Linked DNA regions of Callithrix jacchus. The protein of the gene in region 1 interacts with the protein of each later gene in a biochemical or structural test. Links are inferred from orthologs where the notes say so. Each region holds a gene or a part of one and is shown on either strand. Other genes may lie near its edges.

Region 1 (3,999 bases):
CCTCTAATAAGAAACAAAGAGGTTACAATTACTATCCTTTTTGAAATAAATTAATAAATCAGCCCCCTGCAGTTTACAAACAAGATAGGTATTCGAATGGGAGCTGTTTATTCTCTTTTGAAAGTTGATGTTATCATCATATAGACAAAGGTAAAAAATTTTTAAGAACTGTTAGCTTCAAAGAAATTATGAGACCAGTACACTATTTCTACTTTTTAAAGATTTTAAGATTTATATATTAGTAAAAATAGTTTTTCATTGAAATTACTTTTCTGCTAACATATAGCTGAGACCAGCTCCCTTGGAAAAAAAAATAGAAATTTTGGCTAGCGATAAAGAGCAGTCATAATTTTGAGAGAAGGAAAGATTCCTTATAACTGTCTCCCACCCCCCCCACTTTCTATAGCAAGGTCTTGATTGCAGTTTGTATACTAAGCAGTCTTTATTTTTTTCTAAAATTATGGGATATACCTTCATGAGAGCAGGAGTAATTAAAATAAACACTTTTTAAATTTAATAAAAGTGTTCATATCTCCCACCTGCTCTCATGAAGGCCTAATGTTATCTAACTTCTGCCCTTTAAAATGGCAGATGATGCTGATGATTCTGGATTCTATTTCAATCATCTTGACACCACTTCCATAACTCATAACAAGAGCTACTGTGAAGTACAGTGCAAAGTTCCTTAACCATCTCCTCTTAACATGCAAACAATAGAAGCTTTCTATTCCCTCTGACTGGTGCCCACAGCTCACCCAATGATCTCAGCTACTTCTGCCTCCTACACTGTAATGAATCTTGTTTTTCAAGGTTCACAAACCTATTTCTGGCAGCAATCTCTGATACTGATATTATCTAATTTAAATATTAAGTCAGTCAATGAAATGAATCCTAAAAAGATAAGTGACACTACACTGAATGTTAAAAAGAATAGATATAGGTGTCAAAAGTATTATTGTGGTGTGGCAAGATGATTATAAAAGATTGGAGAAATCATAAAAATCTAGAAAGATTCTGTACTGAAATTGTTTTGTAAGTATCTAAGTTTCAATGTATTTTAAATAATTATAAAATGTAATTACAAACTGGAAATCTACTTATGGATGTTGGCAACTTTCCCATGAACAACAGCTTTATCTATAAAAAGAGGATGGCATACTGTCTAACAGGAGAGGGGAGATATTTTTGAATTGATATCCTGGAGCATGATGAAGGCTTTAGTGAATCAGGCAACAGGGCTGAGAAGTACGGACCCTGACAGGAGGGATTTTAATGGGAATAAACAGAGTTGCCAGATAAAATACAGCATATCCAGTTATATTTTAATTTCAGACAAACAAAATAATTTCTTAGCACAAAAAATTTTTAGTAAAAGTATGTCCCATGCAAAATTTGTTTTGTATATGTGCTAAATTTGGCAGTACTAGGAATAAATAGATTTTTTTTTTTAAAGCATTCTGATGAGAGATATGGGTGTCTGGCCCCCTTTAAGTTAGGAAATGTATCTTCCCACTACTGCTGACTTACCGGGCCTGGTGATGTCTTTCCACTCTGCCTCCTGGAATTGGGTGTCTGAGATGATGGACTTCGTGGAGATGGATTCTCAGCCTTCCGTTTGGCTGCCATGGCCAACAACCAGTTTTTATTCTCTGGGGAACTGTTCTCTTTGCCTACCATTTCAGACCCTTCTCCACAGGGTCTCAAAGGAAGCGGTAGTGTTCCACAGGTTTCTGAAGCATACGGACTGACAGGAGAAGGAGGCTCTGAGATACTTGTACCAGCTCCTTCAATTTTGCTTGATTTGGTAGGACCTAGAGAGTCCTTACTAAGGTCTTCCTGGTTACCAGCAAGGCAGCACAGATCCAGATGAAGATTTTCAACTTGGCCATCAAGCTCAGTCACACAGTTACAACTCTTCACACACTTTTGTTTCACACTCTCCAGACAGCTTGAGTCTAGCCTCCTCTTCACTCTGTTTCTAGACTCAGAGCAAGCCTCTGCTTGGGATGATTTCTGGCTAACGGGAATGAGGGCTTTTCTTGGAGACATGATCTTGGTCTCAGAAGCAGGTGGAGTGATAGGTGGTGATGAGGAGGGTGTTTGGGTCACCCAGTTTCTAATTGACATCTTGAAAGATGAAGGTGGCTTGGGAGAGACAGAGGAGACAGAACCTCTTCTGTTGATGGGAGACCGGGCCTTGGCAGGAGGGGTTTTAATAGAGAACGTAGGAGTATTTGAAGGAAGAGGGAGGTCTCCAGCACAGCTTGGAGCACAAGCTGCGGATGATGGGGAAGAAATGGATGGATTGTACTTCACCCTGGGGGCTTTGGCAGGAGTACTCTGGCTACTTGTTACTGTTACTGAAAAAGAGGAGAGGATCATGAAAATCAGAAATGAAAGCCATACAAAGTCCCTAAATTCTCAGTAAGAAAAATCAGTTAACGTAATAATCCAAGGGTCAATTTGCTGGTAAGCAGGTTATATACATCATTTGATTCCTACTATACCCTTTTATCATTTTCCTTTCTCTTTTCCAACTTGCCAACCTCCCAACTATCCCAGTGTAAAACATATACTTGTAAAAATCGACAAAACACCACAAAACAAAGATAACAATTTTAAAGCACCTAGGTAAACCATGTTTAGCATATGTTCTATATTTGTGCATGTGATATATACTATATATCTCAACCTTTTTCTATACAAAAATGAGACTGATGTAAGGGCAAAGTGGCAGGTAGGAGGCAGGACTAACTTGCCATTCAGACAGACGGAACAGCATGTGGAGACTCACATCATGAACTTTGGCTCCAAGAACTACTGCAGGAACGTACCAGAAAAAAACAAAAGAATTCACGGATCCTTTGAAAGAAGCAGCTTGCTGCTGCAAAATCTGTAAGACAGCAGAAAAACTGAGTGCCCAAAGTGCGAGAGGGCTCCTGAAGCTGCGTGCTTGGTTGAAGAGAATGACCATCCCGATAGAGGACCAGTCTTTGGTCAAGGGTATATGAATAGCTGCACTCCCCTCCTAGAACCTCCAAACGAGCTCTCAAGGTCCAAAGTGTGAGAGGGTGGCCGGAAGAGGTGGCTCACACCTGTAATCCCAGAATTAATGGAGGCCAAGGTGGGCGGATCACTTAAGGTCAGGAGTTCAAGACCATCCTGGCCAACATGGTGAAATCCTGTCTCTACTAAAAGTAAAAAATTCAGCCAGGCATGAGTGTGCACCTGTAGTCCCAGCTACTTGGGAAATTGAGGCAGGAGAATCGCTTGAACCCGGTAGGCGGAGGTCGCAGTGAGCCAAGATTGTAGCACTGCTCCAGCCTGGCTGACAGAGTGAGACTCCCTCTCAAAACAAACAAACAAAAAACAGTGTGAGAAGGGGAGGTCCACCTCTGCACACATGCTCACTGTCCAGATCATAGGAGAAGGAGAACTGCAATGAATTTAGAGAGCCAAGCAAAATATAAAAGTAGAAAAAGCAGAAGGAAGAGCCCTATAGGCACTCCCAGTCCCCAGAAAAGCCATTTCTGACTTTATCTCACAGCGGTCTTTGGAGAGGGCAGCCAATGAAACGGGGGGAAGGATCACAGGGAGAAGGAGACTTTCAGCTGAACTTTGTTAATAATTTCAAATAAGCATGAATTTCCCTGAGCAGAATCTGCGGGGGGAGGAGACAAATGGGAAGTGTAGATATGAGCACAGAAGCTGTCGCAGGTAGATGGATAGGGCCTGAAAGCCCTGCTTGCTTTCTCAGTGGGAAGGCAGGCTTATAGTCTGGGGCAATATCTCAGCCCTGTGCACTGAAGGCATGGATATAAAGCTGGTTCCACTGGCTGTTGGGGGAGCATGGCAGGAGTGAGTCTGGCCTTGCTGGCTGTGGCCTGTCACTGCCGGCTTTCCCCTATTTCCCTGGTGATGTGTATGAAGCAGCAAAGGAAGCCATAATCCCCCTTAGAACATAACACCATTGGCCTGTGAACTACCACTCCCATCACC
Region 2 (3,220 bases), on another chromosome or scaffold:
AATAACTAATTAATTTTATACTTTTTTACAATTTTAAAAATTTCTATTAGAGGCAGGGTCTCACTTTGTCATCCAAGCTGGATTGCCGTGATGCAATCATAGCTCACTATAGCCTCAAATTTCTAGGCTCCTGCAATCCTCCTCTCTTATCCTCCTAAGTAGCTGGGACTACAGGCAGGAGCCAAGGCCTCAACCTAATATGCTCCAAAATTAATACAAATTTTATTAGAAAAAGAAAGGTTTTGTAAGTCATAGGTAAAGGAACAATGAATCAGATCTATTTTTCTTATAGCTTCCTTACTCTTCCCTTCCCTCTTTTATTCTTTATCACCTAAAAGCTTGGTCACAAGTAAGTTCAAAAAGTTAGATAAAATATGGCTGTGAAAGTAGAAAATACAGAAAAATATTTAAGATGCTCACAGTAATTTTTAGAGTAAAGTTGGTTAAGCACTAGTTCATGCTCCACTTCTCCTTGAAAGGCCAACCAGTATTTTACTAACTATACTGGAAAACACACCTACTTGCAATTTTAATTAATCATTATAATTCAAAAACAGGAATACATAACTGACCAGGCCCTTTTGAAAATATAAGTACAAATCTTGGGGATATATGTTTTGAAGCTAGCCTCAATTCACAGACTGATAAATCTACTGTCCAAAAGTCACAAGGTTTATATCTTTATTGGTTCATCTTATAATTAAGTCAACATGGAAGAAATATGTACTTTTTGGATTAAACAAAATGTTTTGATAAAAATGGGAAATGTGTATATAAAAGCTGGAAAATTCATGTCCCCTGAAACTTGGTTTCCACCAGATGAATTTCAAATTCAGATAGTAAATACACATGAAGAAATAATCTAATGAATTCTATTCATCCTTTCCCCAAAGTTTTCCTTACAATTAAGATATAGGTATTATTTGTATGCAGAATAAACAAAATGAATTGGAAGATGTTTGGATAAAGAGGGAAGTGAATACTTCAGGAACTATTGTTTGCAGTTTGCAGAATAGGTTAACCTTCTCTAGGAAGAATAATGTCAATATAGCAGCACTATATTCACCAGGATTCCCCAGAGCCAATGTCGGATCATGTGGCAGGAAGCCAAACCTTCTGGCTGCTCACAATATCAATCAGCTTCCCTTTAATCTTCAGGAAGTGTCTCTTGAATTCCAATCCATCACCCTATATTAGAAATAGTATTCAAAAATAATGTCAAAATAAAAACAAAAACAAGATTATGCCCTAAAATCAATCTCTTTTTAGTGGTAATAAGAGACAAACATCCTTACATATATGTCTAGCTAAAATTTCCTTTTAGGCCAGTTTATCAAGACCAAATATCCTGGCAGAGATAATAATTCTGATGTAGTTTCATGCCCATCACTGTTTCTACTGCACTGAGCTCAGAGAGCAGATAAAATGGCATCCTCTCTGTTTCATGTGTTGGTATATCTGGACCTATGTCATTACATTGCATAGGCAGTAGGCTTTGGAAACTAACAATAAGCTATACAACTAAACTGAAATCTTGTCATAACACTATTGCAATAAAACCAACAGATTTAGTTATGAGACGAATTTCATTATACTACGATCTTAATAATTTAATTCCATAGTAAGCATCTGAAAAACAGTATTGCAGCAAATCTCTAATACAAGGAGTACTGCAGCAAATGCTCTAACACAGCAGCTACCCCTCCAACCCCTTTTAGAGACACATACAATCTCTCGGAAAATGGAAAAAATGTTACTTTGGATTTATATATTAAGGGCTATAAAACTATAACTTTAAAATTAATAATTCCTAAAGAAATCACAAATATGAACAAAAAATCTATGCATAATGTATCAATCACAGAAGTATTATAACATGTAAAGGTTTATTATATAATGAAATATTTTTAAACAAATCATAATTTTTATTAAAAGATAAATTAAGAAAAATATTAAAATGCTTCTAAATCTTAAAGGTGATTACTGCTGGGCAGGAAAATTTAGAATTATTTTTATTTTACCATTTTTTGCTTATCTACATTTTTCACAAAAGCATAAACTTTTTTTTTTGAGATAAAGTATCATAATGTTGCCCAGGCTGGAGTCCAATGATGCAATCTCGGCTCACTGCAACCTCCAACTACCGGGTAAAAGCGATTTTCCTGCCTCAGTCTCCCGAGTAGCTGGGATTACAGGTACCCGCCACCATGCCTGGCTAATTTTTTGTATTTTTAGTTTTACTATGTTGGCCAGGCTGGTCTCAAAGTCCTGACCTTGTGATCCACCTGCCTTGGCCTCCCAAAGTGCTGGGATTACAGGTGTGAGCCACCGTGCTTAGCAAAAACTTCTATAATAAGGAAAATGTCGGTTGAAAAAACAATGTTTGGGAAAAATAGATTAACAAAAGCACATGCTCTAAATGAAAAAGTTACATTCTATTTACAAATGCCACATATATACAAACATAATGGCATTTAAAAAGTCACATAGAAATATTTCCATAGAAAAATACTAAAATAAAACATAAAATTACCTTAGAAAGCCGGAAGTCAACCAGTATCTTATCATCCATTTCTAACAAATTCACTTTGAAAATGAGTTTATTGTTTCTCCTATCAGTTGTTGATATAGTAACCTAAAGCAACAAAAATAAGGTTAAGCCATATAGTATACCCACTATGAAGAACAGAATGGAAGTTCTTCCAAATCTACAAATAAAACTACCTGTAAGATCCAGCAAACCCACTATTGAGATGTTATCCAAAGGAAAGGAAATTATATGGAAGAGACCTTTGCATGCCTATTCACAATAGCCAAAATACAGAATTGGCCTAGGTGCCCAACAACAGATGAGAATAGGCCAGGCACCGTGGCTCATGCCTATATTCCAGTACTTTGGGAGGTCAAAGCAGGAAGACCTGTGAGCCCAGGAGTTCAAGACCAGACTGGGCAACATATCAATATCTCATCTCTACTAAAATTCCAAAAAAATTAGCCAAGCATGGTGGTGCATGGCTGTAGGCCCAGCTACTCAGGGAGGCTGAGGCAGAAGGATCACTTGAGCCCAGGAGGTCGAAGCTGCAGTGAGATATGATTGAGCCACTGCACTCCAGCATGAGCTAGAGTGAGATCCTGTCTCCAAAAAACAAAACAAAAAGTCAAGCAAACAGATGAGGATAATATGATATACATACACAATGAAATACTACTCAGCCATATA
Region 3 (4,761 bases), on another chromosome or scaffold:
AATCCTGGCCAAAAAATATTGTTTACATTGTTTTTCCTATCATACAAGTACAGTAGAGAAGAAAAATATGACCTGCTACAACCAATTTTATTTCACATTTTATTATTTTAATTCCATTGTTAGATAATTCAATAAAACAATTCTCTAAAGAACAAACTGAAATAAATTAAATCCAACTCTGAATTAAAACATTTAACTCTTTAATAAAACAATACACAAAGCCACATTTTTTTCAGGGACATAGAAAATCTATGAAAATACAAATATTGGAGTTTTGGAGTTATTCTGTGTCTATCCCCATTATCAATCTATCAATAGTTAATCTGAAAATAATTCCATTTAGTATGAGTGCAATCTAATCATTGAACATTCAGCTACTCCAAGCTTTACACAGACAAAAACAAAGACTTACCATCGGACTATTTTGACAGGATCTTTCTTAGGCATGATCTGATTAAGCCATGGTTCAATACCTGGAAATTGCTCTATCAACTGATTCTTAATACCCTTAATAACTGAGGTTTTCAACTGGATGCAGTTGGACACATTTTCTTTTTCATCAAATCTGCCAAGTAATTTTTGCAAGAAAAGAAAAAGGGATTTCTAAGTAGAGGTATCATAATACCTAAAGGTATTGTTCTGATTAGTATTCCCAAGCAAGTATTTAGATACTTAAAATAATTATGAAATAAGTTGTTTTTTTAAAAAAAAATACCACCTCCCTTTTACTCTGTCCAGCACAAAACTAATGTCTTAATACAATATTGAAATTAACTGTCAAGTATACAGCAATTAGCTGGGGTTGGGGAGAGGAATATAAGACACACTTTGCACCATAATCTCTAATTAGCTACACAAATGCCTTTCCTGGAAAATCTTATTCAATTCTACCCAGGAAAAACACGGGCTCCCACCAATAATAAAACCTGTGATCAAAAAACAAAACCCTCAATTGATACAAAAGACCAACCCAAGCATAACATAGAAAATCGGCCCCTGCTAGGCTATGCAGTCTGCTGAGACTTTTTTTAAAGTGATGATTTATAAGATCCCTATTTATTTTTGCTCAAAATTTCATGCAAAAAACCCACCTTCCTTTGCCCATGTTCCCCCTTTGCTTTTTGCGTCTACCAAACCTGGAAGGCAAACCCACTAGTAGGTTCCCAAGGAATTTTTGTCTTCCTTACACTGAATAGCTTATGGGGCAATCACGTTATTTTCAAGGCAAGGTTAATCTGGCAGCTAGGCAATAGGCATGACAGGCCGCTTGCTTCCTGTCACCCAGACTCCTTCACTCCCATGACCCAGGAAGTCAAGCCTTCCTTTATTCAGTTCATAACTAATAAACATATGGCAGTGAGCGCAGGGCTCCCCTCTCAGCTAAAGAGGATATGCCCCTAAATCACAGTGCACGGATGTGATTGGTAGAACCCTAGGAATGGAGACGGAATCGGGGGAGGGGGCAAAAGAGAAAGAGGGATAAGGAGAAAAAACAATGGGAGTGAAGGGAACGAAACCCGATTGAGGACTACGGATGGAAAGCTTAAAGAAGTGTTCAAGTTGCGAGTTAGAGCATAGTACTATAGAAAACCTTAGGGAGTCAGGATGGCAGGGGCGGGGGAGAGAGAAAGCGGATCTTAGCTCTCGCCCTCTTCCCCACCCCCACCCCACCGCCTTTGTGAGCAGCCGATGGAGGCCACAGCATGTCCTTACTTCTTGAACATGATCCAACGTGAAGGGGGCGACGATAGGGAAGGGCCCGGAATGGGAACGAAATTGAATTTGCAAGGGTCCGGCAGATCCCTTTACACGAGGAAGGCCGGCACTGACAGTCGGAGGTGTAGTCGTTATCCGGAAAACGAGAGCCAGCCGCGCTTTACGGCTCTCAGTCAAATCTGACTACTTCCGCTCCTCTGGCCTCCACGTAGGCGCTTTTGCCGGCTCCTTTTAAGCAACCGGTTCCTCTGCAGTTGGAGGTAGCTGAAAGGGCGGGACTTGAGAGGGAAGAAGTGATAGAACAATTGCAGGAAAAGAAGAATGGAGGGGGCGGGGAAATCAATCAAAGTAGCATTTAAGGCACTTGCGTCTGTTACGGGTTCCTCAAAGGGTCAAGTTTCTTCCGTGCTTCGTTGCTACCTACCGTCACACTAAAAGATTCTTTTTTTAGGGAGAATGGCTTTTGTTCCGTCTGAGGCAACTGAATGGATTGGTGCTTACCTACCAGCATGAATCCAGACAAACCTCATAGCTTCATGTTAAAGTGCTGGTAGGATTGCCAGGTTTGACAAATGAAAATATAGGATGCCTACTTAATTTGAATTTCAGGTAAACAATGAATACTTGTTTTAGTGTAAGTATACCTCAACAATATTTTGGACATACTTACACTAAAAATATACAGTCCTCGTTTAGCTGAATTTAATTGCGCGTCCTGTTTTTTATCTGGTAACCCTTATTCACTGGCAACCATACGATGCCCCCATAGTTTTTTGTGGGTTTTTATTGAGACAGGGCCTCACTCTGCTGCCCAGGCTTGAATGCAGTGGTGCTGTCTTGGCTTACTGCAGTCTTGACTTCCTGGGCTCAAGGGATCCTTCCACTTCAGCCTCCCAAATACCGTGGACTACAGGCACACGCCACCATGCCCGTTTTTTGTTTTTTATTTTTATTTTTTGGTAGAGACAGGGTCTACGTTGACCAGGCTGGTTGCAAACTCCTGGGCTCAAGCAATCCTCCTGACTTGGCATCCCAAAGTGCTGGGGTTACAGGCGTCAATGACTGCCCTCCTGTAGAATAATTCCCAAAGAATTATTACAGAAGGTAATCTGATTAAAGAGATAAATAACTAAAGATACATGTTTTACTTATGTAATTTTTTAAAAAGAAAGCTGATAGAGAATATTTTGCCAGTCAAGGATTTTACTTTGTTTTTGGTTTTAGACACAGCATCTTACTACTCGACCCAACCTGGAGTGCAGTGGCATGATCATGTTTCATTGTAGCCACAACTTCCCAGTCTCAAGTGACCCTCCAGCCTCGGCCTCCCGAGTACAGGCATGCACCACCACAGGGCTGGTGGGAAGAACCCCTTATAAAACTACCCGATCTCGTAAGCACTCACTCACTATCATAAGAACAGCATACGGAAAACCACTTCCACCATCCAATCACCTCCCACCAAGTCTCTCCCCAGATATGTGGGGATTATGGGGATTACAATTCAAGATGAGATTTGGGTGGGAAAAAAATCCAAACCATAAAAGTCACCCTATTGCCCTATTGCACTGTCAAATAGAAGATCTCTTTTTTTTTTGAGACAGAGTTTCACTCTTGTTACCCAGGCTGGAGTGCAATGGCGCGATCTCGGCTCACAGAAACCTATGCCTCCTGGGTTCAGGCAATTCTGCCTCGGCCTCCTGAGTAGCTGGGATTACAGGCACGCGCCACCACGCCCGGCTAATTTTTTGTATTTTTAGTAGAGACGGGGTTTCACCATGTTGACCAGGATGGTCTCGATCTCTTGACCTAGTGATCCACCCTCCTCGGCCTCCCAAAGTGCTGGGATTACAGGCTTGAGCCACTGCGCCCAGCCCTAGAAGATCTTACTCATTCTATTTTTTTGTACCCATTACCCAACCCCACTTCTACTACCCAATCCCCCACTATCCTTCCCAGCATCTGGTAACCTTCTATTCTCTGTGTCCATGAGTTCAATTGTTCTGATATTTATATCCCACAAATAAGTAAGGACATGTGATGTTACTCTTTCAGGGCCTGCGTTATTTCACTTAACATAGTGATCTCCAGTTCCATCCATATTATTGCAAATGACAGGATCTCATTTTTTTTTTTTTTTGGCCAAATAGTACTCCATTGTGTATATGTACCACAGTTTCTTTATTCAAACATCTGTTGATGGATACTTAGGTTACTTCCAAATCTTAGCTGTTGTAAACGCTGCTGCAAGAAACGTAGGTGTGCAGATATCTCTCTGATAAACTCATTTCCTTTCTTTTGGGTATATACCCAGCAGTAGGATTGCTGGATCATATGGTAGCTCAATTTTAGTTTTCTGAGGAACCTCGAAACTGTGCTCCATAGTGGTTATACTAATTTACTTTCTCACCAACAGTGTACAAGTATTCCCTTTTGTCCACATCCTCACCAACATTTGTTATTGCCTGTCTTTTGGATATAAGTCATTTTAACTGGGGTGAGATGATATCTTGTAGTTTTAATTTGAATTTCTCTGATGATCAGTGATGCTAAGTACCTTTTCATATGCCTATTTGCCATTCGTGTCTTCTTTTGAGAAATGTCTATTCAAATATTTTGTCAATTTCTTGATCATATTATTATATTTTTGCCTATAGAGTTGTTTGAACTCCTTATGTATATATTCTGATTATTATTCCCTGGTCAGAGGGGTAGTTTGCAAATATTTTCTCCCATTCCGTGGGTTGTCTCTTCCCTTCGGTGATTGTATCCTTTGCTGTGCAGAAGCTTTTTAACTTTATGCAATCAAGTTTGCCCATGTTTGCTTTGGTTGTCTGTACTTGTTGGATATTGCTCAAGAAGTCATTGCCCAGACCAATGTCATGGAAGTTTTCCTCAATGTTTTCTTGCAGTAGTTTCACAGTTTGAGGTCTTCGATTTAAATCTTTAATCCATTTTATTTATTTATTTATTCTTTTTCTTTTTTCTTTTTAAAGATGGGATTTCACCATGTTGGTCAGGCTGGTCTCGAATTTCTGACCTCTA
Region 4 (4,475 bases), on another chromosome or scaffold:
TCATTTGAGCCCAGGGGTTCAAGACCAGCCTGAGCAACACAGAGAGACCCTATCTCTACTAAAAATAAAAATTAGCTGGTGGGCTGGGCGCAGTGGCTCACGTCTACAATCGCAGAACTTTGGGACGCTGCGGCAGGCAGATCACTTGAAGTCAGGAGTTCAAGACCAGCCTGGCCAACACGGCAAAAACCCTATCTCTCCTAAAATTATAAAAACTAGCTGGGCGTGGTGGTGCACACCTGTAGTTCCAGCTACTCAGGAGGCTGAGGCAGGAGAATTGCTTGAACCCAAGAGGTGGAGGTTGCAATGAGCTGAGATCACGCCACTGCACTCCAGCCTGGGTGACAGAGTGAGATTCTGTCTCAAAAAAAAAAAAAAAAAATTAGCTGGGCATGGGGGCTCACGACTATGGTCCCAGCTTCTTGAAAGGCTGAAACAGGAAGATTGCTTGAGTCTAGGATGGTGCCATTGCACTCCAGCCTGGGTAACAGAGTGAGACCCTGTCTCAAAAAAAAAAAAAAATCACTTAGGGAGCTTTTTCAAGGCCCTGCCTCTTGAGACCAACTTAATCCAGATTGAAGATTTAAGTAGGTGTTTGAAGATTTAAGCAAGTGTTCAGCACAGTTCCTCAGATGGGCACTCTTGGGGTATCAGACAAGGGGGACACTGGTGTGTTTGAAATGGACATTCTGGGTCTCAATACATCAGAGGCACAAGGAAGGGCTCCATCAAGGATATTCCCTGGCTCTCAGGAGCTCAGGATAAGACTAGGATCTAGGCAGGCACCCTTTCCTCTTCTACCACCCCTTCCCTTAGGGCTCTCATAGGCCTCTCCTCCCCCATCTAAATCTGCTCTCAGGCGCATTGTCATAACTTTCAGCCCAAAGAAAACTCAGAAACGCAAACCCTTGTTCTACAAATAACTGAGAATAGCCTCCTTTGTTGGCCTTCCTGCCTTAGACTTCAGTCATACTTTAATTTCCAGTAAGAGCTCAATAAATACTGTTGAACCTAAGGAGTGTTCCTTTGAAGGAGCGGTGAATGGCATAGGGGTTGATCTCAGATGAGCCCGGAGTACCCGCGGTGGTTCCCGCCTGCCAGCCCCACTCCGCGGGAAAGCGGGTGTGCCATTCTCACCAGGGCCGGGAGGGGGCGCCGGCCTCCAGGAAATCACGCGCGGGGTGGGAGGTACGTGGGCAGAGCATTGGACAGCGGGGGAGTAGCGATGAGTCAGTTTCCCGCAAGGCGCTGCCCGCCCCCGCCAAAACTCCGCTTCCACTCCGGCTGCGCGTCACACTGGGGTGGGGAGAGGGAGAATGGGAGGGGACCGGAGGGCCGCGAACACGTCACGCTGGGCAGGCCAGGCTTCCAAAACTCCCGCCGCTGTTGCGAAACCGCGCGCTCCTGCGCCGTCTCTGACACAGACACACGGGCGCGCGGGCGCGCACACACACACACACACACGCGCGCGCGCGCCGAGAGCTGGCCCCTCCACCTTATCTCCACGCCCAAAGCACGGGATGAGTCAGATCCCTGGAAAATAAAAATAGACGGGAGCAACGAAAACAAAATCTCTCGGAAGTTCTCCCAAAAACACGACGTGGAGCGAGGGAAGGAGACGGGAAGCTGTCTAGGCGCCCCAAGTTCCAAACCCATCCCCTAGATGTTTTTCTGCACTAAGAGGGCGCAAGTGTCCCCCGGGGATTCCGGACTGAGAGGACGTGCCGTGGTCCGCGCCCGGCGGCGGCGCTCACCCCGCTGCTCCGCTCAGTCTTGTCGCTTTCGGAGAGGGAATCTGGGCTAGGTCGGGGCACCCCGAGCCCCCGCGGCAGCTGATGGAGGCCCTGAGCAGTGTCGTGCCCCCCAGAAACGCCACCAACGCCGCAAAGACAGGATCTCTCCCCACCTCCCACTCAGGCGTAGGCTCCGCTCTTGCCCGGGAGTCCAGCGCCCCGACTCGAGGACAAGCTGGGCCGTGGTTCTCCCGGCCGCGGTGGTAAAGAGGTAGAGAAGACCCCTGCCCTTCCTCGACTGACAGGCTGGTTAGAGCCCGCCCAGCGCAGGGCGTTGACTCCCCGGCCCCTAGGGCGCGCCGCGGAGCGGGGATCAGACGCGGCGACCTGGACCTCCAGTGCCCGGCTTCCCTGGGAACACGCTGTGCCAGCCAAATTGGTCACTGTGCTGATGGGAGGGCGAGACCTGAAGGGACAGGGAGGGGGCTTCTGGGTTCCCACTGTACCCCAGCCCGGGCGAAGTTCTGACCTTATACAGTCCGTTCCCTGGGGTCTCCTTGTCACAATGAGTCAGCTCCTCGCTTGTCCTTAGGGGACGTGTCCTGGCACATTCCCAAGGGCCAGGAAACTGCTCGCACTTACCTCAGCGCCCAGCCAGGTGGTGGACACAGTGGCGTAGAGGACCTGAACCCCGGGACGTGAGCCAGGGCGGCGCCGCTTGGTTCCGAAAACCGCCCGGGACCGATCCCAGACGAACTTACTCCACTCCGCTTTCCTCGCCCCTCCTGGACCCCTCCAGGGACACGGACTTCATTCCCACGCCAGGAGCAAACTGCACCTGGGGCTTGGAGCCCACCGCTGCGGAAGGCGAGCTCCCAGAGCGGCCCCGTCTACGCCCTCCCTCGCCCCAGCTGGGTTTCTAGGGGCGGGGAGCGTGGCCCGGGATCCCTGTACTTGTAATCCCGCTCTCCGCCCGGAGTCTCCGGCACATCCCGATCCCCGTCACCCGAGCACTTTACAGACACCGTATGCGGAAGCCGAGCAGGCACAGACCCACGCCCGTCATTCACCTGCCTCAGAAACACCTGTGAACGCAGCGCACACCCGCGGACACGCATCCCCGCGACACCCACGGACACAGGCAGGCTCGCTCGGCTCGGCTCTGGGCCGGCGGCCTGGGGTCCCCTGTTGGCTGCCGCCGCTCCCTCACCTCCTCTGAGTGCCTCGGTGCCTCGGCGAATCCGCGCTCAGCTCTGACCCCACAAGGAACTGACTCCCGCAGCTGCTCACACCTCAACTGGTGCCGCTCTGCGGGCGCAAATATAACCTACCCCCAGGAGGGGCGGGACCCGCGCTCGTCCTACCGCGCCGCCCCTGGACGGCCCTCCCCCAGGCCCGGGGCCCTGGCTGCCCAGCGCCGAGCCAGCTGAGCCTGGCAGAGTTCCAGCAGCCCCAGACGGTCCCGGAACCTCGCGTGCTGCAGGAGGGCGCTTCCCTCCTCCCGTTGTCTCTAACGTGCGTCGGTACACTGGACACATTTTTCCCACAAAGTGAGCCTCAAATTTGGCCTTTTTTAGTTGGAGAATGACTTGGCACTCCCCAGGAGGGCGCTGTTCGAATGAGCCCCCTTTCTGGCCCACCGCTGACCCACTATGGCAGGCAAGGATTTACCCAATGCAGCTGAAAAGATCAGGAGGATGACAGTCGTAAATAAAAATCCATAAATAATAAAAACGATGCGCCTCTCTGCAATTTCCAGAAAAGCCCCACGATACCACCTCTATTCCCATTGATCCCTCATTAGGTCACCTCTCCCAGACACACCTGAGGCACCTAGACACCCCAACAAAACATCTTGAGGCCAGAATGATTTTTCAGTCCCCTTTATTTCACAGATGAGGCAACTGAAGGTCCACTGAACTTAAGTATACAAAGATGTTGATTGTCACATGCTTCCGGGAAGGAGGGAATTGGAGACACTATCAGAAAACCGAGGAGGAATTGGACATTGAACCAATCTCCGTACACCGTACACTCACCTCAACAGAAGAACTCTGTGATTGCAGCTTTGTTGGCTAGGAAGCAGAGGATTTGATGAGTGAGTTGTCTGTCTCCTAAATACTCCCCACAGGGCCCATATACACTGCTGGGGAAACTGAGGCTCAGAAGAGTTTAGTGACCTGACTCAGATTATGCAGCAAAGAAATGACTATGGTGGGAACACAGGACTTTTGCCTCCTGCCCAAGGCTCTGTGCTTGTCACCCTTTATTTCTGTGGCTCCAGAATGACAAAAATACCCAATAACCCTCATTTGCAGACAGTTTATGGAAATGACATAAATAAAGGATAATTCTGGAAGTGTCTACTGGTGCTTCTGCCAGACACAGAAATGAGTAACGTGTCTATCTGCTCCCGTCTACCCCATACCTCTGACCTCCCTTGGACTTCATCTTTGCCTCCTTTATGTGCCTGAAACATGTGCAGTTTTGCTTTGAAAAATTGCAGAGGATGGATTGTTAATCTGAAAATAAATCCCACTAAAAAATAGGAGCCAGGCTTGGAGCAGCTGCAATTACTGACATCTCAGGCTGCTCAGTCTGGAAATCTCTGCCCAGGCATGCCCCAAGCCTTTTTTTTTTTTTTTTTTTTAATAAAGGTTTGTAATGAATTATAAAGTTTTGTAGTATTGGGCTTCACAATGAAATAATTCTTTGCACATCATTTTTTATTATATATGGATT
Region 5 (3,999 bases), on another chromosome or scaffold:
TAATTTTTTGTATTTTTAGTAGAGACAGGGTTTCATCATGTTGGTCAGGCGGTTTTGGAACTCCTGGCCTCAGGTGATCCACCTGCCTTGGCTTCCCAAAGTGCTGGGATTACAGGCATGAGCCACTGTGCCTGGCCAAGTTTTGTTTTTTTTTGAGACGGAGTTTCGCGCTTGTTACCCAGGCTGGAGTGCAATGGCGCGATCTCTGCTCACCGCAACCTCCGCCTCCTGGGTTCAGGCAATTCTCCTGCCTCAGCCTCCCGAGTAGCTGGGATTACAGGCACACGCCACCATGCCCAGCTAATTTTTTGTATTTTTAGTAGAGACGGGGTTTCACCATGCTGACCAGGATGGTCTCGATCTCTTGACCTCCTGATCCACCCGCCTCGGTCTCCCAAAGTGCTGGGGTTACAGGCTTGAGCCACCGCGCCCGGCCAAGTTTTGTTTTTTTAATCCATTCCACCAATATGTGTATCTTTCTTTTTTTTTTTAACCTTCTTGACCCTTCCATATCTCTTAAGTGGAACATTTAATCCATTTATGTTGAAGGTTAATATTGATATGTGAGGTTTTATCAGGTATATTACTATTAAGTAAGTTTTTGGGAAGGTTTTTTTTTTTTTTGAGACTCAGTCTGTCTCCCAGGGTATAGTGGCGCAATCTTGGCCTACTGCAACCTCTACCCCGGCGTTTAAGTGATTCTCCTGCCTCAGCCTCCCGTGTAGCTGTAATTACAGTCACCCACCCAGCTAATTTTTGTGTTTTTAGTAGAGGTGGGTTTTGCCATGTTGGCCAGACTGGTCTTTGAACTCCTGACCTCAAGTGATCCACCCACCTCAGCTCCCAAAGTGCTAGGATTACAGATGTGAGCCACCATGACTAGTCATGTTTTTGTTTTTTTAAGACAGGGTCTCACTCTGTTGCCCAGGCTGGAGTGCAGTGGTGCAATCATGGCTCACTGCAGCCTCAACCTCCTGGGCTCCAGCAATTCTCCTTCCTCAGCTTCTAGAGTAGCTGGGACCACAGGTATGTGCCATCACACCCAGCTTGTTTATTTTTTGTAGGGACAGTGTCGGGATATGTTGCTCAGGCTGGTCTCTAACTCCTGTCCTTAAGCCATCCTTCCTCTTGGACCTCCCAAAGTGTTGGGATTGCAGGAGAGAGCCACCACACCTGGCCTCATTTACAATTTAAAGAGGCCACTGACTGCTGTGTGGAGAACTGAGTGTTCCCTGAGGTCAGAGTGGAAGCCCGGTGACTAGAGAGGTGCGGTGGCTGGGCTCAGGGCAGCAGTGAGAATGGAGATGGAGAGGAGATGGCAGGGTTTGGGACTGCCCTTGATGTTGCTCATTCACCATGGTTCCCAGCACAGATTGCTGCAAGCTGGTTTGGGCCTCTGTGTAGGGGAATGGGCTGAGCTCAGCAGTTGGTGCTGGGCTCTCGACATGTGCCATCTGGTTTGGTGACAGTCTGTGCTAGCGAGACATGCTGGTTTGGGGGGAGCCACACTGGTTTGGAGCTTCTGGTCTGTCTTCATTTGGTTCCCTTTTGTTTCATAGTGTCTGTGTGATGGCAGAGTAGTGGAACCCAGGGTTAGGGATGGAAGTAGGTACAGGAGGGTTGGCCTTCGAGGAGAGGTGAATCTGGGAGTGCCTCCTCCTCCTGGTTCTCTGTTCGGGGCTGTATTGACCCTCTGGATTGGAGGTCCTCTTTTTATTCATGGTGGTAGCTTCTATACAGGTGAAGCTCAGCGATCCTAAATGGACAGCAGTAGGGGCCGTCAGAATGGAGGGATGTGGACTGCCTGTGTCCCATCCAAAGGGCACAGCCTCTGATCTGCTGTACCTGATTTTCAAACTTGGGCAAGTTGGACATTTTACAACATGCTGCATGGGCAAAGAACATATCTACAAGCCCCATTCTGTTCTTGGGTCCCCACTGTTTCCTTCCTGATCTAGTTGAACCCCAGATCATCCACACAGATGGATGATGAGAAAAGAAGGGATACTTGGGGGCTTTGGCATCACTGGGTACCCATCATCCACAATGATGCCAAATGAGGCCGATGGTGACCCGGTGGGTATGGCCTAGGCAATGAGGGCTCAAGGCCTTCAAGCTACCCACGATGGGCTTGGGAGAGGATGCTGATGCTATTTTTCTTTCTCTCTACCCAGTCTGAAGAAAGGAAAAGAATAGATGAATTGATTGAAAGTGGGAAGGAAGAAGGAATGAAGGTAAGGGGCTGCTGTGCTGGCTGCATCATGGCTAAAGCTGGAAGACTCGCCTTCCCTGGTCCCTCGGCTGAGAGTGGCCACCACGTGGCTTTAACCCTCTAATGGCCATGGGGACCAGTCAGACTCTTACTAGGTTGTGAAAGAGCCAAACACTAAAACTCATTAAGGAAAAACCTTATGAAGGAAACATAAATGGGCCTTGTATATAAATGTTATTTAGGGGAAACTTTTCTTAGAAATTGTGGTTAAACAATTTAGTGGCTTTTTGTACATTCACAATGCAATGCAACCACCATCCCTGTCAAATTTCAGAACTTTTTCATCCTCCCATTACTGCCCACCATCCCCGAATCTCCCTCGCCCATCCCCTGGCAGCCACTCAGCTGCTTTCTGTCTCTGTGGAGTTGCTCTTCTGGACACTTTATATAAATGGGACTATACAATGTGTAGCTGAAGCCTGGGGAAACTTTTAAAAGGAGAAACTAATAAATTTTTAAACTCTGTTTTCCTAGATAATGACAATGCCCAAGAAATGTGCTTTTCTCTTACTGCATTTCAAGCATACCCAGTTTGGGTGAGAGGAAAGGAACTCTCTACAGTGGGGCTCAGATAGGCCTGGATTAGGGCTTAGGGCTCAGAAACCTTCCACTTCCACCCACCACTTAGGGGGACCCCCGCTTAAGTCCTGGACCCCTCCAGCAACCCCCTCTGACTCCATGTAGAATAGAATGAGGAGACACAGGAGAGAAATCGTGGAGCGAGGCACAGACCCAGAACACTGGGCCTGCTGTTCACCTAGGAAGGCATAGAGCACAGCCCCTAGGCAGAGAAACCAAGTGTGGATTTGAGTCCCTGCTATGTCACTGCCTAGCTGTGGGGCCTCAGACACGTGGCTCTGCCCCTCTAAGCCTCAGTTTCCTCATCTACAAAATGAGGCAGTCTCCATCCAGCAGATCTCTCATGAGCTCTGATGTAACAGTGCTTTGCAGATGAGTACCAAGGAACCAAGTCTGTGGGGTGACAGAAATGTTCTAGAGCTGGATTGTAGTGACAGTTGCACAGCTATGTACCCATCTCAAACAGCCCATCAACCTGTACGTGTAAAGCAAGTGAGTTTTATGGTACAGCTCAGTACAGCTGTGAAAGACTGGTATCAGCCCTCAGCTCTCCAGAGGCCTGCTGTGCGTGGTGGCATCCATTGCTGTTATGAGCCAACAGCCTCTCTTATCACCTCCTGACAGATTGACCTCATCGATGGCAAAGGCAGGGGTGTGATTGCCACAAAGCAGTTCTCTCGGGGTGACTTTGTGGTGGAATACCACGGGGACCTCATTGAGATCACTGACGCTAAGAAGCGGGAGGCTCTGTACGCACAGGACCCTTCCACGGGCTGCTACATGTACTATTTTCAGTATCTGAGCAAAACCTACTGGTAAGTCTACTGTTGCTTTGAGTGGCTTTTCTGTCTTCTGGGCAGTGAGGAGAGCCCAAAGGGCCAGGAACTCCTGATTCTGTATGGTATTTTACTTAGTAGAGATGGGGTTTTGTCATGTTGGCCAGCCTGGTCTTGAACTCCTGATCTCAGATGATCCAACCACCTTGGCCTTCCACTTGGCCTTCCAACCCAAAGTGCTAGGGTTACAGGTGTGAGCCACCGTGCCCAGCCTATTGCCTTTTTTCAAAGCTGTGATGTAACTATCCTGTGCTTTCCTTGTTTTTTTTCTTCGAATCTTGCTCTGTCGCCCAGGCTGGAGTGTAGTGGCGT

Evidence for each region.
Region 2: of the proteins of DTL (region 1) and CHEK1, one has a biochemical effect on the other in vitro, tested with the Homo sapiens proteins (2 studies listed by BioGRID). The link is inferred for Callithrix jacchus from reciprocal best matches to the Homo sapiens genes DTL and CHEK1.
Region 3: the proteins of DTL (region 1) and CUL4B form a complex in vitro, tested with the Homo sapiens proteins (2 studies listed by BioGRID). The link is inferred for Callithrix jacchus from reciprocal best matches to the Homo sapiens genes DTL and CUL4B.
Region 4: of the proteins of DTL (region 1) and CDKN1A, one has a biochemical effect on the other in vitro, tested with the Homo sapiens proteins (3 studies listed by BioGRID, with this or other methods). The link is inferred for Callithrix jacchus from reciprocal best matches to the Homo sapiens genes DTL and CDKN1A.
Region 5: the proteins of DTL (region 1) and KMT5A form a complex in vitro, tested with the Homo sapiens proteins (2 studies listed by BioGRID, with this or other methods). The link is inferred for Callithrix jacchus from reciprocal best matches to the Homo sapiens genes DTL and KMT5A.

Annotation. Positions count from the first base shown.
Region 1 is NC_133520.1:17,234,493-17,238,491, reverse strand, and holds part of DTL (denticleless protein homolog), read right to left. Parts: intron 2,361-3,999; coding exon 1,528-2,360; intron 1-1,527. UniProt on the Homo sapiens protein: Substrate-specific adapter of a DCX (DDB1-CUL4-X-box) E3 ubiquitin-protein ligase complex required for cell cycle control, DNA damage response and translesion DNA synthesis.
Region 2 is NC_133511.1:25,261,025-25,264,244, reverse strand, and holds the end of CHEK1 (serine/threonine-protein kinase Chk1), read right to left. Parts: intron 2,636-3,220; coding exon 2,534-2,635; intron 1,189-2,533; coding exon 1,093-1,188; 3' UTR 650-1,092; downstream 1-649. UniProt on the Homo sapiens protein: Serine/threonine-protein kinase which is required for checkpoint-mediated cell cycle arrest and activation of DNA repair in response to the presence of DNA damage or unreplicated DNA.
Region 3 is NC_133524.1:116,476,788-116,481,548, reverse strand, and holds the start of CUL4B (cullin-4B), read left to right. Parts: upstream 1-1,897; 5' UTR 1,898-1,976; exon of another isoform or gene 1,977-2,562; coding exon of another isoform or gene 2,563-2,747; exon of another isoform or gene 2,748-2,786; intron 2,787-4,761. Other genes in the region: MCTS1 (malignant T-cell-amplified sequence 1), read right to left, coding at 413-565, 2,563-2,747.
Region 4 is NC_133505.1:44,980,759-44,985,233, reverse strand, and holds the start of CDKN1A (cyclin-dependent kinase inhibitor 1), read right to left. Parts: upstream 3,059-4,475; 5' UTR 2,944-3,058; intron 2,804-2,943; exon of another isoform or gene 1,138-2,803; intron 1-1,137. UniProt on the Homo sapiens protein: Plays an important role in controlling cell cycle progression and DNA damage-induced G2 arrest. Involved in p53/TP53 mediated inhibition of cellular proliferation in response to DNA damage.
Region 5 is NC_133510.1:126,589,365-126,593,363, forward strand, and holds part of KMT5A (N-lysine methyltransferase KMT5A), read left to right. Parts: intron 1-2,174; coding exon 2,175-2,234; intron 2,235-3,475; coding exon 3,476-3,666; intron 3,667-3,999. UniProt on the Homo sapiens protein: Protein-lysine N-methyltransferase that monomethylates both histones and non-histone proteins. Specifically monomethylates 'Lys-20' of histone H4 (H4K20me1).